3 linked regions of the Arabidopsis thaliana genome follow. The protein of the gene in region 1 interacts with the protein of each later gene in a pairwise test. Each region holds a gene or a part of one and is shown in the gene's direction. Other genes may lie near its edges.

Region 1 (5,606 bases):
TATTTTTATTTAAAAAGTTTCTCAAAATTTTAGCTTTTAAGTGGCAGAAAATAGTTTTTTTTTTTTTTATAGATAAAGTGAAAAATCTAAAATGGCAAAATCAACAATAATCCAAAACAACAAAATCAACAAATCTAAAAAACTCGTTGATTGTTTTGAAGACAACAGCTATGTGGTGAAGAAAAAATGAAGAAAAACCAAAATCGACATGTGGGCTACTGTGTAAGATGCATTCATTTACAGCTACCAAACGCACACGTGACAATTTTTTTTTTTTTTTTTTTTTTGTTTGTATATATTATATAAATTTAAATACAATCGAAAACAAAAATTCTTCGTTAAACTCTTTTCAATGCTGTATTTGAAGCTTCCTATTTTTATTATTAAAAATATGTTGTTTCTAAAAAATATATATATATATATATATAAAAATTCTTTTCTTGACTCTACAAAATTTTTGTTTGCTAACAATTTTACCTTCACTGTTTACTATACAAAAAATCTCTGTTTTAGTGAATAATATATGCAACTAAGTTTTTCGCAATAAAAATACAATAAAAAAATTGTAGCTAGCTATAGTCTGGTCACAAACCATAGGAAATGTAGCCTCTAAAAATAAAATCAATAACAAATTTGTACTGATCTTTTTATATCGACATAAATTTGGTGAAAGTCCAAATAACATGTTTTTCGTACCATAATCAACCAAGTGGTGTTCCTTCAACAGATACATAAAACGAGGCAAAATAAAAGTGAACGAGGCAGACAAAGAATTTTCCAAACCTCATTTAAGGGACTAGGTTGACTTTAGTCCTTTACTTTAGAAGAGAGTTGCAGTTTTCATCTATTGTAGGGGTTACACAAAATTTGTTCTTATGTGAGTCCAATTGCCAAATTGTACATCACTCGAAGACAAATTGGGCCCAAACTGTGTAGAATGGGTTTGGGCTGCCAACCCATAATAAACCTTAAGTTGAAAATGAATTAGTTTGGCACATGCTTTTTTTTGTCATGTTCATGCTTTTAAAAAAATTCAAAATTGGCCTAACAAGTTTCACATCTCTAGAATGTTGTTCCTAGCTGGCTAGTTCCACGCACGTGTCACACTATAATTTGTCATTTCGTGAATGAAGAAATCATTCCAACACTTTTGTTATTTTGATAACCATACAAGGAATAACACGTGAAGGAATTTAGGAAACGAGAGATTCTAGAGAAGTCACCTAGTTTTGTATTTAAAAAAGGTGCTCAAAATTAGAAAAATATCGAATTTTGTTGAAAAAGGGAAAAATAAACAAAGACAAAGTAGTAAATAGAAACTTGGGCATGAAGCTAAGGATATGACTGGTCGCCGAGAATTAATAACCACACAGTATTATTACAAAAAGTATACAAACCGAAACTTCTCGCGGTGATGATGAAACCTCAACGCAATGTTATCGTCACATCAATTTGATTCCTCATTATAGTATGAATGAAAAAGCAGATTAAACAGAAAATACATAAAGAGCTCTATAACTCAATAGGAAATATTTACCACTCACCTATGTTTTTCTTACACTTTCACTCTAATTTATTTTGACAAAAGAAAAATTGTATTATATTATTTAAAGACTTGACTTTCTCTTTAATATTTTACTGTTTTTTATATTTAAAGCAATATAAAAAATTATCATCATTTTAATTAAATTTATTATCCCTACCATTTTACCAAACCAACTCAGTAATAAACTCATTTCATACACATATTTGACAAATATGTCGACTGTCAGAATCTAGAATACTATTTGTCAAATGAAAGTGATTACATTATGAGATAACGATAGAAATATCCACATCTCTCCTGATCACCAGTCAACATATCTTTTATTAACGAATTGACTGGTAGTTTAAGACGCTAATTATCCTTTGCTCTATAATACCATTTCAATCGATATTTTAACTAATTATATACTATTAGAAATGAAATGACAAATCTGCCGAAAGCTTTTTTCTTTTTAATATTTTGTCAAAAGAAGACACACAAAAAAAAAGTAAATTGTATTAGAAAAAATCCAAGACAGAGAAAAAAGTAAACGCGTAGACAGATGGCGACAGGAGAAAGAGAGAGTGGAGAAGAAGAAAAGAATTGCGATCAAAGAAAATTAGACTTCTTTCTTCCAACGTTTTCACATTACAAATACACAAAAACCAAAAGATAAAGAAAAACAAGAAATATTTTGTTTTTCGATCTGAAAAAGTGAAAGCTTCTTCAAAATCTTTGCTTTAGAGATCGTTTGGTGATTTTTTTTCTTTATTTTTTTTTTATAGTTTCTTCTTCTTGATTCTTTCATATGGATGGACATCAGCATCATCACCTTCACCAGCTTCAATATCTCAACAAGCATCATCTTCATACTCAATCGCAAACGCCGGAAATAGCCTCTCCGGTAGCTGTTGGGGATAGGTTTCCACAGTGGAGCGTCGAAGAGACAAAAGAGTTGATAGGGATAAGAGGAGAGCTAGATCAAACTTTCATGGAGACAAAACGGAACAAGCTTCTTTGGGAAGTTATCTCTAACAAGATGAGAGACAAAAGCTTTCCTCGTAGCCCTGAACAGTGCAAGTGCAAGTGGAAGAACCTCGTCACTCGTTTTAAGGTCTATTCTCTCTCTCCCTCTTCTTTCATTTTGTGGATGTTTTATAATCTTGGAGGTCTTGCATGGAACAAATAAATAAATAAAAATTTGTAACCAAGAAATATTGAATCTTATAGTCCATAATCTTTCCGGGACATATAGACAAACACCATTGTAAATATTTCTGAATCTTGTTGTCCATAATCTGCTAAGTAGTTTAATTATATGTATACAATCTCATTGGTGATGTATTGCTTGATGTTTCTAGGGATGTGAGACAATGGAGGCAGAGACAGCGAGACAACAGTTCCCTTTTTATGATGATATGCAAAATATATTTACCACTAGAATGCAGAGAATGCTATGGGCTGAATCCGAGGGAGGAGGAGGGGGAACAAGCGGGGCAGCGAGAAAGAGAGAGTATTCTTCAGATGAGGAAGAAGAGAATGTGAATGAAGAGCTAGTAGATGTCAGCAACGACCCAAAAATTCTAAATCCGAAAAAGAACATTGCAAAGAAGCGAAAAGGCGGTAGTAATAGTAGTAATAGCAATAATGGTGTAAGAGAAGTGTTGGAAGAGTTTATGAGACATCAAGTGAGAATGGAGAGCGAGTGGAGAGAAGGATGGGAGGCTAGGGAGAAGGAAAGAGCAGAGAAAGAAGAAGAATGGAGAAGGAAGATGGAGGAGCTTGAGAAGGAGAGGTTGGCAATGGAGCGGATGTGGCGGGATAGAGAGGAGCAACGGCGGTCGAGGGAGGAGATGAGAGCAGAGAAGAGGGATTCACTTATCAATGCATTGCTTGCTAAGCTTACTAGAGATGGTTCCCTCTAATCTTTTGTCAGCTTTGCTTAACCTAAATTAACTTGTTCTTATATGCTTGTTTGGGGTGTAGTGTAGGTACAATTATTTGGTGGGGGAAGATAATATCTACGGCAAATCTCAACACTCATATATTGATTGATATGATGACATATTTGAGTTTTAGTGAGGCTTTAGTAATTTATCATCCCCACATTATTTCTTCCTAGTTTATATTTTGGCGAGCCAAATTCTTATAGCATATCATTTAATCTTAGTAGTATACTGGTTTTAATTAGTAATTTGTAGGACCGTATGTGTAGTATTTTAGAGTAATTTGGATTTTGTTAGAGTTAACCTACAAATCCATATATAGTGCAGCGAATGTAATATCGGTTTCAAATATTATCTTCATGCAGAAGAGAACGAGGATACTAATAGTTTATGGTATTATGAACTAATTAACTTTGATGAGAATGTAGAGATCAAGAGGGCAAAACAGTTAGTGGAAATATTAAACATGCTCGAAACAAGAATGAAAACTTATCCTATGAATTATGGGATCATTTAGGTCCATTGTCTGCGATCTAAACTTTTATTATTTTACCATAAATGTTTTCTTGTAACATTGAGAATCATATCTAACATGGCAAGATAATACGTGAATGCGTATGGCGTTTCTTATCCACATAAATTTGTTTTACTTATGTTTTTTTTTTGTTTTCCACATAAAGATTAGTAAAGATCTTGTATTATTTTATTTGTAAATTTATATTTATATAATTATATACTAAGGAGATGCTTAATGAATAAAATACACATCACATGTTAATTCTAGAAAATACGTTAACCAGTTTTTTTTTGGTAACATTGTTGTTTCTTTATTTATTTACTAGCTATGAACTCATGCGTGGATTTATTTGTAAAAAATTTAACAGTTTTTTGTGTGACTAAAATATTTTATTGAAAATTTTGAAAATATGATTTTATATATCTATTTGTTGTTAATATTATAAACTCTTTGAATTTTAAAATTATCATGACAAATAGTAACAATTTAAATACATAACTAGAAATAACCTTTATACAACTCTTAGATTTTACAACATTTAGCAAAAGAACATTTTTTTGGTTAATGACTCTCTCTTTAGCTTTAGATATTTAGGATAACGACGTCTTTTTTTACGTATTAAATAAATTGTTGTATAGGAAATAGATTCGACGATTCTCATTTTGGTACCCGCAAATTTACTATTGTTTTTCGTTTATCTTCGCTGCATTAGTTAGTATAGCTCTTCTAAAAATAAGATATTTTGTAGAAATATATTCGTAAGTTTATCTACACTTTCTTTTAACAACTCATATTTTTCTCACATTCTTTTCAATATGTATATGAATTTCTTTCACAATTTTTTTTACAGAGAGCTATGACTCTCCCTATCTTTTTGCAAAAACTCGTTTTATTTGTTTCATTTTTTCTTACAGTGTCTCTTTCATCCTCTTATGATTTTGTCTAAGCAATATGTGCCATACCTTCTTAAATTTTCACATGCTCCATATTTCTTCTTCGAAAATCTCTTCCTTTTCTTGTTAGTATAAGCATTTTTCAATCTCGTCAAGATGTACTCTGTTTTGTTTTCTGTTATTCTAAGAAAACGTTTTAGCTTCTAAATTGATACTTAACTCTATCACTTCTCCTTTTTGATGCAGTTTAGATCCTCTTCACCTTCACGCTTCCCAGACTGAAAGACCTTAGTTTATATCTTCGAGAACTTGATTCAAATTGATACGATTAAAAACACCACCATCAAACCACGTCCTTGTTACGTTTCTTTAAATTATATTAAAATGTTGGATTACTTGTATAAGATCTTATAAGGTTTGGGTTTAATATTACATAATTATAATTCTATAGCTTCTTTTTTTTTATAAGTTTAAATTTAATATTTGTTATTTTCCTTTTCTATTTTAAATTTTAAAATAGAAAGTAATTACTATTTTCAAAATTGTTAACTAATTAGATACTAAATATGTTAATTAATGACATGTTTAACGCGGATTGGTCGTTCTAAATCCTATGTAGACGCCTTTAGAAGCAAATAGTTTCAACATTTATATAGTATAGATTTATTTGACATTACTTTCTCATTCCCACATCTTTAAGCGTTTTTTTTAAGATCTTATAATAC
Region 2 (4,588 bases), on another chromosome or scaffold:
AACCGCTTCCTCACTAGATCGAGTAACACTAGGTTAGATTGTGATGATTTGAGATGGATTCGAATTCTGTTCTTCGATTTTTTTTGGTTTTGACTGAGAAATTTAATCTTTTGCAGAGATGGGTCAGTGATAAAGATGAAAACAAGTGCTTCTTCTTTTGGGTTTGATCCAACTCGTGTCACTCAACTCTCTTGGACTCCTAGGTTTGTTTGCTTTTGTGTTTGTTATCTGAAATTTTGAATCTTTGTTTTTGTTTATTTGATTTTTTTGTGTTTTTTTTTTTTGCAGAGTTTTTTTGTATGAAGGGTTTCTTTCTGATGAGGAATGTGATCATTTTATCAAATTGGTATTGAATCTTAAACATCTTTACTTAAGCTTTTTAAGTAGTGATGATGATGATGATGAAAGAATGTTTTTGTGATTGTGATATTTGTTTTTTTAGGCGAAAGGGAAGCTTGAGAAGTCAATGGTGGCTGATAATGATTCTGGTGAGAGTGTTGAGAGTGAAGTACGCACTAGTTCTGGAATGTTTCTCTCCAAACGACAGGTTAGTTAATATTCTGAACATGTAGGCATCTATAGAAATTTATGTTGGCTATATCGTAGAACTTTGCAATGACTTGTTAGAAGCGGTGGTTTTGTATCTGGATTGATTTGGATGTTGAGTTTCGTGCTAATCATTGGAGAATGATTGTTATTATGAGGTCTAATGTGGCTTTTGTGTGCGTTGTACTCCGTTAGATTACTTCAGCAATTAGGCAGACTAGTTCTATGTTACTGATCAACGCTTGACCAAGTAAACATGCATTTCCTGCAATACTGTAGGATTCTGTTTCTGTGGTTAGACAAAGTAGCAGCTTCATTGCAAATATGGATAGTCTAGAGATTGTGTGATTCACTGATTGTTAACCTTTGAGTTTGAATGGTATGGTTCTATGTATGTGTAGGATGATATAGTAAGTAATGTGGAGGCAAAACTTGCTGCGTGGACCTTTCTTCCCGAAGGTATTTTTGGCCATATGTACATAGATTTCCTAATTCTGTCTCTTTGTTTAGACTTTAGTTGCTTACAACTTCTCATCTCTTTTTTGTCTGTGTTGCGGATCAGAGAATGGTGAATCCATGCAAATATTGCATTATGAGAATGGTCAAAAGTATGAACCGCATTTTGACTACTTTCACGACCAGGCTAATCTAGAGCTCGGTGGTCATCGGATTGCCACAGTATTGATGTACTTGTCCAATGTTGAAAAGGGAGGAGAAACAGTGTTTCCCATGTGGAAGGTAAAGACATATATTACTTCTGGTTCCTTAAATTTTCATCTAATATTTCGATTTCGTTTCCTGAGTAGCCTCATTTCAGTTTGATCACACATTCTTGTAGGGTAAAGCAACTCAGTTGAAAGACGATAGCTGGACCGAATGTGCAAAACAAGGCTATGCAGGTAAGATCACTGTATATAGCTTGCTTGATATAGAATACTGTATCCTGAACATGCGTTTGGCTTAATTGTGAAAGCTCAACACAAATGGGGATTGTAGTAGTTTGATTAAATGATAATGAAAGGTATAACTATTTTTCCAAATGGTATATTGCTCTATCTGATTTATGTATCTTTGCAGTGAAACCGAGGAAAGGGGATGCATTACTGTTCTTCAATCTTCACCCAAATGCAACCACAGATTCAAATAGCTTACATGGAAGCTGTCCAGTGGTTGAGGGAGAGAAATGGTCAGCAACCAGATGGATTCACGTTAAGTCATTCGAAAGAGCGTTTAATAAGCAATCTGGATGTATGGACGAGAATGTGAGCTGCGAAAAATGGGCAAAGGCAGGGGAATGCCAGAAGAATCCAACATACATGGTTGGTTCAGACAAAGACCATGGATATTGCAGAAAGAGTTGCAAAGCTTGCTCATCTTAAGAACAACAAGTAAAATCAAAGCTCTTATTAAAGGATCAAAATTTTTGTATAGCGAAAAACCGGGTTTTCGCCATTCGGGTAGATAAACATATCGTCAATAGAATGAAAAATTTAGAACTATATACTAAAAAAATAATTCTGATTCTATGTTACTGGTTTCATGTGCAAGTTATGTTCCTTATGGTTCATAACTAGACCAAAACTTAATAAAAGTCGGTTTATGTTATCATCAACCTGAAGCAAGCGATACATGATAACTGAATTAAGTATTATACAATCAGTAGTAGTGTACATGAGATGATAGTTGCCAAAACTACGTCATGCACTTCGAGACTCTATATTTCTAATGAAGTGTAACAATCATGCAATTACCGTTAATTAGGAGCCTTCAAGCATGAGATCCTCACCTTCTCTCTCTTTCTCTCTCAGAGCTTTTGCATTGCATCACTCTATTTCCATAAAGCCTTTGTTGTTGTCCTTTCAGACATTTCTCAGCTTCTTCTTCTTCTTCATCTTCTCTCTTGTGTTTGAATACCAAAAAATGGGAAGACCTCCTTGTTGTGACAAGTCCAATGTCAAGAAAGGTCTCTGGACCGAGGAAGAAGACGCTAAGATCCTTGCTTATGTTGCTATCCATGGTGTAGGAAACTGGAGCTTGATCCCCAAAAAAGCAGGTTTTTCCAAAAAAAAACTCTCTCATTTCTCTTAACTCTTAAGAAATCTCATTTCAAACAAGTCTGAGTTATTTTTCGTTCTTCGGCGCAGGTCTGAATCGATGTGGAAAGAGCTGTAGACTAAGATGGACTAATTACTTAAGACCTGACCTTAAACATGACAGCTTCTCTACCCAAGAAGAAGAGCTTATCATTGAGTGTCATAGAGCCATTGGCAGCAGGTAATGAAGCAACCTAATTGCTAACTAACTTTTTAACAATGACAAGAATCTATCAAACTTTTTATCTCATTAGTAATAATTGTAACCTCTGATGTTTTCAGGTGGTCTTCCATTGCACGAAAGCTTCCAGGAAGAACGGATAATGATGTGAAGAATCACTGGAACACAAAGCTGAAGAAGAAGCTGATGAAAATGGGGATAGACCCGGTGACTCATAAACCGGTTTCTCAACTCCTTGCAGAATTCAGAAACATTAGCGGCCATGGAAATGCATCCTTCAAAACAGAACCATCTAACAACTCTATACTCACACAATCCAACTCAGCTTGGGAAATGATGAGAAACACAACAACAAACCATGAGAGTTATTACACCAACTCTCCAATGATGTTTACAAATTCCTCTGAGTACCAAACTACTCCATTTCATTTCTATAGCCATCCAAATCATCTGCTCAATGGAACCACATCTTCATGCTCTTCCTCATCATCTTCTACTAGTATCACTCAGCCAAACCAAGTACCTCAAACACCGGTTACTAACTTCTACTGGAGCGATTTCCTTCTCTCGGACCCGGTTCCTCAAGTAGTGGGATCCTCAGCTACTAGCGACCTCACTTTTACGCAGAACGAACATCATTTCAACATCGAAGCCGAATACATCTCTCAAAACATCGATTCAAAGGCCTCGGGAACATGTCATTCCGCGAGTTCCTTCGTTGACGAAATACTAGATAAAGACCAAGAGATGTTGTCACAGTTTCCTCAACTCTTGAATGATTTCGATTATTAGATCCCTTCTTTTCCCTATTGTTGTTACTTCTCTTGTAACTGGTTTATGATTTTCAAGAACTATGTTTTTTCAATAAGTTATATCTCTTCTCTTATTAGTACTTACTTAGTACTTAAGTAGTAACCAAGTCTCTTGAAATACAAAGCTCAAAATTAAACACCTTTTGATACAGAAATAGATCCTCTGGCTCTGGAAGAAGGTTTTAACTCTATTTCTATCATTCGTCTTCTCTGCAGACGATTTCTCTCTGCAAGCTCCCAAAGTCGAAAACTTTATCAGCAATGGCGGTTTTGTTGTCATCTTTCTCTCCACTAGGAATCAACATTGACATGAATAAGAATCTGGGTGTTTCGTATTCTTCTTTCCCTCAAATTCATCTCTTTAAGGGTTCTACTCCACTGCGTGTTCGAACATTCGTCGTCTCGAGTCGTAAAAGTGTGAAATTTTGCATCTTTCACAGAATCATTCATAAAGTTCTGTCTTTTCTCAGTTTATGTCTTGTGGGTTTTCAGATTCAGGAACTGGTTTGGCAAGTGAGGATAAGAAATTGTTGCTGGAACGATATGGTTATGATGCTAATGATGACTTTGGGTCTCAATCTAAGGTCTGTTTTTTTTTTCCATAATTGTTTTTTTTTGGTTTGTGATGAATAGTTGAGAGATGAAACTTTTAGTTCTCATTGTAGAAGGCGAGAAGGAAAGAAGAGAAAATGAGTGGAAGGAATAGTCAACAAGTAGAAGAAGTTGTTGTTGTACAGCCAAGAACAACTCATAGGTTACTGCAGGTGTGTATTTGCTTATTTTATTGTGTTTTGCTTTGGGGGTTACTGTTGTTGGATATCTATAATGTGTAGATTGTTTTAGGTTCTTGCAGGAACGGCGAAACGAAAGAAATTGCTTTCTCTTAAGGGAATGGATGTGAGACCTATGATGGAAGTTGTTAAAGGAGCAGCTTTTGGAATTCTCCAGGTAAGAGT
Region 3 (6,579 bases), on another chromosome or scaffold:
TGGTGTTTTGCACTAAAGATAGGTTAAGGTTTTGGTGATAAGTATCTGTTAGAAGCAGAACTCTCGCGTCGATCTATGATACTTATAAGTTCCAATGTTGAATTAACACATTGTCTTACTAGTTTTTGGATTCAATTTACAACATTCTTAAAGCTTTGATTCAAATGATATCAAGCAACCTGAGTGATCATTGTTATATCTCCATCTCCTCATGCAAGCGCTTATCCAGAGTTAGCTTAGTCGTAACGTAAAATTTCATTCGCATGTAGCATCAATGTTGGTTTCTAATCAACAAGTTAGCTCACGCTTGATCACCCAAACGCAAAGTAGTTGTGTCCATAGTTGTATATGTTGTGTATCGAATAAGATGGTTTTATACATCACCACGGTCTATTATGATCATCATTGGAATCTATACACAGTTCAATACTAACAATCAACAGAAAAATATTTCTTATAACTTTTGCATTGATCAAGGAACTCAGTTCTAGAGCACACGAGATGTAAAAATCTACCGGAGAAGTCACTAAAAAGTAGTTCAACATTTCAGAATAGTTTACAGTTCCAGGCGATAAATAAACCAAGCCCTGGTAAAAAGTGGACAAGACAAGACCTCACTGTTCTTGTCAATAACCAGGGTGAAATTAGTCCAAATTTCAATCCCTGTAAGGCTGTAACTCAAGAAATCTCTAATCTGCTTTTACAAGGACAAGCAGATTCTAAGTAAAGACAACAACATGCGAAAAGCAAACATATCCGCTTTTCGCTGGTCGATCAGATCTATAGACGCCTTTCGGGTTAGTAGCAACGAACCCTTTCTCGCTATTTCACTGACCGACTCTTTTCACTAGCCTCATGTGCCAAAGAGTTGCAACCTTCGTCTTTCCAGCTCAAGCTGCGATAAAAGCAAAATTGCATTACTATCACACCCAAGGCTTGATCAACGTTACACGATTGAATGCAAATGACTAATATAACACCAGAGGCTTAATTGGCATTACACAATGAACTGAAAGTGACGCTTACCACTTTCTTGACTCGGTTGTTGGCAGCATCAGTTCCTCCAAAGACACAATCTGAAAGATACGGGCTACGAACGCGTACCTCTTTCATCACCAGAATGTCTGAGTTTTCCCATTGCACAGGAAGCCTAAAAGGAAAATAATTCACATGTGATTCATTCGAAAGAGAAAAAGCAAATTCAAACAAAGAAAGTTTAAGGATTTATGTAGTCTAAAACTATGTATCTAGACAGCTTCTTAACTGTATCAGTATCACAAAGAAGACTAAAGATACTTGACACTAGAGCCCACAACATATGTAATCTACAACAACCACAAACATAGAAACTTTACATATATATAGTTGCAAACTAGCATCACCGGAAACCAAGAGCAAAACAACACTAAATCATGTCCAGATCCTAACAATTTATCTTTGGGAATAACACATTAGACGCACAAAACAAAATCCTCCAACCCAAGCAATTGTTTACAAAGAACTAATAGTTCAACTAAACAACATTAGATTACGATCTCGTCCCACCTCTCTACCGTATACTCTAAGCTGTGTTTCCTTCTTAGAGATTAGCTTATTTTTCGATCCGAAAACGTATAAAAAGAGAAGATCCTTACGTCTTAGACAACGCGTCGAAGATGCTCTGAGCCTCAGCGGTAACACCAACTCCCATTCTTTCAGCATCTGCTTCCGCTTGCCTGTGCTCAATACGTTTTCCCAAGTAAGCTCAAAACAAGCAAATAGCAATAAAAATTGCATTTTGAAAGGATTCAACAACAAAATATCTTATCACCTGATAGCAAGTGCCTCTTTAGCTCGGAGACCATTAAGATCAACAGAAAAGTTGTCTGAATCAAGTGGATCTTCAGTTTTGCCTAAATACGAAAGCCCTGTAATAAAACTCGCATTCACCATCCGAGTGTTCTTCAAATGCCCAGGTCTAGGTTTTGTACCCTCTTGTAATAACCAATAACTCGTCAAGGATAACACAATTCAGGTCAAGACATTGAAAATACCTAAATCTCAAATTTTGATGAAACAAACAATTAAAGAAATTAAGGATATCAAAAAAGACGAAGTTGGGGATGGGGTCGTAAGCCATGACGATCCCTCTGAACTCATCTCCGGTGATCACCTTCACTGAATAAATATTCCCCACCGCGAATTTCTCTCCTTCTCCTCCGATTGCGCTGGCCACCGATGCTCCTGCTGGATCCATGGCGGCCGTCCTCGCTCCTCCTCCGTCTTCTGAAATCGCCGAACTTCGGAAAAATTAAAACTATATATATCGCAATATGGGCCTTAAGCCCAAATAGCTACTGGCTTATAACAGTTTCCTCATTTTTATATCAGTATATGGGCCATAAGGGCCCAATAACTACTGAGCTTCATGATTAGTTCAAAACGCGGCGTTTTAAAGATTAGTGTATGACTGTTACTTTATCCATTTTATTTCGTTATAAACAGATTAGCGAACACTGAACCACAATCAAATCGGAGAAAATCGTGTGTGTGTGTGTCAATGGCGGCTTTAAGCATCTCACTAGCTTTCTCTGTTGATTCTCTCAAACCAACCCAATCAACGAAGTTTGGCTTCTCGTCTTCTTCACATAGATATCCATTACTCTACTCGTGTAAATCTCACCGCTCCAATCTCAGATTCGCTTTCCCTCCTTCTTCAGTTTCGACAGCTACAGAAACTGGAGAAGAAAACTCTAAATCGACCGGGAATTACGCGTTTCTAGAGGAATCGTTTCGTACCGGGAGGTTTTTGAGTAACGATGAGTTAGAGAAGCTTAAAACTCTTGAAGGATTTGCGTATTTTCAAGAGCTTGAATCTGGATCGATGTGGGTTCGAGTTATGAGACATGAAGAGATGGATTCAACGGTGCATCTATTGGCTGAGTCATTTGGTGAATCGATGTTATTACCTTCTGGTTATCAGTCTGTGTTACGGTTTTTGATTAAGCAGTATTTGATTGAGAGAAGAGAAGTGTTGCCACACGCAGTTACTTTAGTTGGTTTCTTTAGGAAAAAAGTTGATGAGTTTAGTGATGATGGAGAGGAGGAGGCTGTGATGGCTGGAACTGTTGAGGTTTGTTTGGAGAAACGAGGCGCTAATGCTTCTCCTCCTTCTCCAACTCCTCCTAAGGAATCACCTTATATCTGTAACATGACTGTCAAAGAGGATCTTAGAAGGAGAGGAATTGGGTGGCATTTGTTGAAGGCGAGTGAGGAACTGATATCTCAGATTAGTCCATCAAAAGATGTATACTTGCATTGTAGGATGGTTGATGAGGCTCCTTTCAATATGTACAAGAAGGCAGGATACGAGGTTGTTAAGACAGATACAGTTTTGGTCCTTCTGATGTTACAGCGGCGTAAGCATTTGATGCGGAAGAAACTTCTTCCACTATGCACCAATCCTATAGTAGAAATGGTGGGGTCTGATAATGAGCTGACCTCCTCTGCAAATGTGTAAACATGGGTACAGTTTTTCCATCAGTGTACCAATTAGCTTTTAGTCTTCTTCTCAACCTTTTCTGAATTTATAACAAACATTGTGATTGGCTTTATTATGTAGGAGCTAAATGTGACATGACCAAGGGTCGGGTTGATAATCCCGTTTGCTTCGACCTATTGTTTATATGATCTTAGTAGAGGTACTCCACACACACTCTTATCTTTGTTATCTGCTTCCTGTATTGGCAGCGATTGTATTTCTTGTTCATAGACATGTGGTTAATTCTTTAGGCATTAGGCGAAAGAAGGAAAGAAAAAACAAGACTACACCCCTGAATTTATGTACTCATTTCTCTTAAAGCAAAACATTCATAGCAGCAAATACAACATACTATACGGATACATCTAGTGCTTGATTTTCTTAGTGAAATTATAGTATATATATCCAAATAATATCGCTTGATCAAAGTTTCCTAGCTGGAAGTTGAATTGAAATTATCCGGTAATTCATAATTAGTATTGTTTGTTTATATTTATCAAGTGTTTTTTTATCAGTGACCTCTCATTTTAGGAAAAATGACAGTAATCCATTTTACTTGTTTCGAAGAATTCAGTGTCTAGAGCCTTCTGAATGTAGGAATCGTCCCACCCAAACCACCCTTCGAGTTTGTGTAGATAATTAGTTGCAGTTCCTTAACACAATCCATCACTGAAGGTCGCTCTTTACTCTCTATACGGATGCACCGTGATGCTAGATCAGCAAACATGGTTATAGCTTCCATGCTGTATGAATTCCGAGGCAGCTCGACATCTATAACCTTACGCAATTTCTTTCTATCATTCAGTATATTCCTAACCTGAAACGTAGAGATAATTGATCAGTTTATTCCTATGTTAAGTTTCCTGATCTTTGAACTTTTTGTGTTTGTGAATCATAGAACCTAAAAGGTCCATTTTACCTGTAGCACCAGGTTCTGTTCATTTGGGCCCTGAGTTAAGTCAACTGCTCTGCGTCCAGTAAGTAGTTCTAGCAGCACAACCCCAAATGCATAAATGTCGCTTTGTAGAGTAAGTTTACCTGTCTGCCACAGAAGAAGGGAACAAAAATTATGCTAAAAATTGTCCTCCGTTGCCTATTGGCTCTGATATGTGAGTGTGATTAAAGTTCCTTTTCCAGGCTATTTTATGTCATTACTAGCAAGTTTTAATTTTTCTTAAGTAGTGTCTAGTTTACCCTATCGGAAGAGAATCATGTGTGAAATATAAGTAAGAATCTTTACCGATGTATATTCTGGGTCGAAATAGCCGAATGTTCCTAGAACTCTTGCTGTGACACAAGTATCCTTTCCTTCTGGCATCAACTTTGCTAGTCCAAAGTCGGATATCTGCAAGGATTACACTCACATCTTAGTTTTAGTCTATGCTTGGTATTAGTGCTGCATAAACCCTCCATTTCTATTAACTGTATAAGAACCTTTGCATTATAATTGGAGTCTAGTAGAACGTTGGTGGATTTGAAGTCTCTGTGAACAATTGGAATCCCAACAGAAGAACTTGAATGGAGATACGCGAGTCCTTTTGCTGCTCCTAGTGCAATTCTGAGCCTTATTGGCCAGCTTATTTTTGCTTCTTTGATTCCTGTGATAAAGACGCGGTTTAGTCGCCAATTGGTTTTAGTGGATTGGGCTCTTATTTTGTTGACTTACCATTCAAATGATCTTGCAGGTTTCCATTTTGCATATATTCATATACTAGGAACCGGTGTTTCCCATCTGCACAATAGCCGATCAAAGAGACCAGATTTGGGTGGTCGAGTCTGCTCAAGATATCCACCTCCACACGAAATTCTCTTTCTCCGTCAGCCTTTTTAAACGTAGGTAAATCCATCTTCTTGATTGCAACAACCTTCAAATAACAAGGGATTAAGATATGTATCCTACTCTAATAGCTCCTCTTCGATAGAAAAGTTTTTGTAACATTACAAAGCCTGTAAATCACATAAATGAAGCTATATAGTTCCTACCTCTCCTGTTTTTAAAGTGCCTTGGTAAACTCGGCCAAAGCCTCCTTTACCGAGGAGATTCTCATCACTGAAAGAACTTGTGGCCTCCTCCATCTCCTTGAGGGTATAAACTGATGACCCGAATCTTCGCTTCCTTGGCTGAGAAGCCTGATCTTCGATTTGCCAGCATTCTGCTGTTCTGTAGACCCCTGAGAAGAAGGTTAGTTTCAAACAGATGGTGATTCAGTTTTACCTAAACCCTTTATATTCAGTAGTAGTAATGTCGAAAAACAAAAACAGTAACATACTTTTATGCCATCTGGCGAAGATGATGGAGAAAAGGAACGTACATGGATCCGTATCATATGATTTGCTTCTCCTTCTCTTGTTCCAAGCCGAAACAAGTGGAAAATGCATAGCTTTAGTTTGGATTTGGTTTTTTCTTATCCTTTGTAGACCATTACAAAGCCGATAGAAGAAGCTTCTGGTCTCGTCCTTAAGACAGAAGGGTATGTGTCTTTCTAGTCGTGAAGATGTTCTTTGTAGTTAGTTGCTTCCAAAGAAACAGAAGATTGTTGTGGTTGAAGATGATAAATATAGAGTGCAATAAAGTTAATTGATTTTGAGGGTTAGGTTTCTGAAATACTCAACAGCAGTATTTCAACTACCGAAAGTTCAAGAGAGAGAGAAAGAGACGGTAGAGCTGAAGAATACGTAGATTACATGTACGTGAAGCAAAAGAAATTGAGAGCCATCTTGAGAAAGTAAAGACTTGATGTTTCCTTAACTTTTCTAAGCTCAAATTCTCGGTTTGGTTCTCTTGTCTGAATCTATCTCCTTCTAACCAGTTTGTGTACGTACGTATCTCTGTCGATCAAATAGAGATGGGAAGCTGCTTTCAGAGTGTTTCCTTACCCTTTTCGTCTCAACTTTTTTCTCTAGACTTCTATATTACTATTTACTAATGTTGTTTTCATAGTTCGTTGAGAGAGAGATTATAAAAGTTAAACTTTATAAGTGGAGAAAACCTATAATTTTCTTAAAGCAATCTTAGTTTTTTTTAATAAGATTGACAAATCCTAGGATACTGTAACTTT

Evidence for each region.
Region 2: the proteins of AT2G38250 (region 1) and TDF1 interact in binary tests that used the Arabidopsis thaliana proteins (3 or more experiments, as listed by UniProt).
Region 3: the proteins of AT2G38250 (region 1) and AT1G24040 interact in binary tests that used the Arabidopsis thaliana proteins (3 or more experiments, as listed by UniProt).

Annotation. Positions count from the first base shown.
Region 1 is NC_003071.7:16,016,051-16,021,656, forward strand, and holds AT2G38250 (Homeodomain-like superfamily protein), read left to right. Parts: upstream 1-2,159; 5' UTR 2,160-2,333; coding exon 2,334-2,639; intron 2,640-2,886; coding exon 2,887-3,450; 3' UTR 3,451-4,106; downstream 4,107-5,606.
Region 2 is NC_003074.8:10,673,603-10,678,190, reverse strand, and holds TDF1 (Duplicated homeodomain-like superfamily protein), read left to right. Parts: upstream 1-2,466; coding exon 2,467-2,599; intron 2,600-2,690; coding exon 2,691-2,820; intron 2,821-2,921; coding exon 2,922-3,612; 3' UTR 3,613-3,683; downstream 3,684-4,588. Other genes in the region: AT3G28480 (Oxoglutarate/iron-dependent oxygenase), read left to right, coding at 1-32, 117-203, 289-346, 443-508, 826-888, 948-1,005, 1,109-1,284, 1,385-1,445 and 1 more; AT3G28460 (methyltransferase), read left to right, coding at 3,894-4,047, 4,125-4,216, 4,298-4,396, 4,476-4,580. UniProt on the Arabidopsis thaliana protein: Required for anther development and early tapetal function during microspore maturation. Regulates callose dissolution required for microspores release from the tetrads.
Region 3 is NC_003070.9:8,502,714-8,509,292, reverse strand, and holds AT1G24040 (Acyl-CoA N-acyltransferases (NAT) superfamily protein), read left to right. Parts: upstream 1-2,497; 5' UTR 2,498-2,539; coding exon 2,540-3,499; 3' UTR 3,500-3,505; exon of another isoform or gene 3,506-3,601; 3' UTR 3,602-3,680; intron 3,681-3,832; exon of another isoform or gene 3,833-4,097; coding exon of another isoform or gene 4,098-4,337; intron 4,338-4,421; coding exon of another isoform or gene 4,422-4,562; intron 4,563-4,715; coding exon of another isoform or gene 4,716-4,865; intron 4,866-4,954; coding exon of another isoform or gene 4,955-5,118; intron 5,119-5,186; coding exon of another isoform or gene 5,187-5,385; 3' UTR 5,386-5,503; downstream 5,504-6,579. Other genes in the region: AT1G24050 (RNA-processing, Lsm domain-containing protein), read right to left, coding at 854-895, 1,027-1,150, 1,635-1,715, 1,811-1,976, 2,083-2,236; AT1G24030 (Protein kinase superfamily protein), read right to left, coding at 4,098-4,337, 4,440-4,562, 4,761-4,865, 4,955-5,118, 5,187-5,385, 5,504-5,691, 5,791-5,899. UniProt on the Arabidopsis thaliana protein: Protein acetyltransferase with dual specificity triggering both N-alpha-acetylation (NTA), with a large spectrum of modified N-termini, including methionine, alanine, serine and to a lower extent threonine and valine as substrates, and epsilon-lysine acetylation (KA).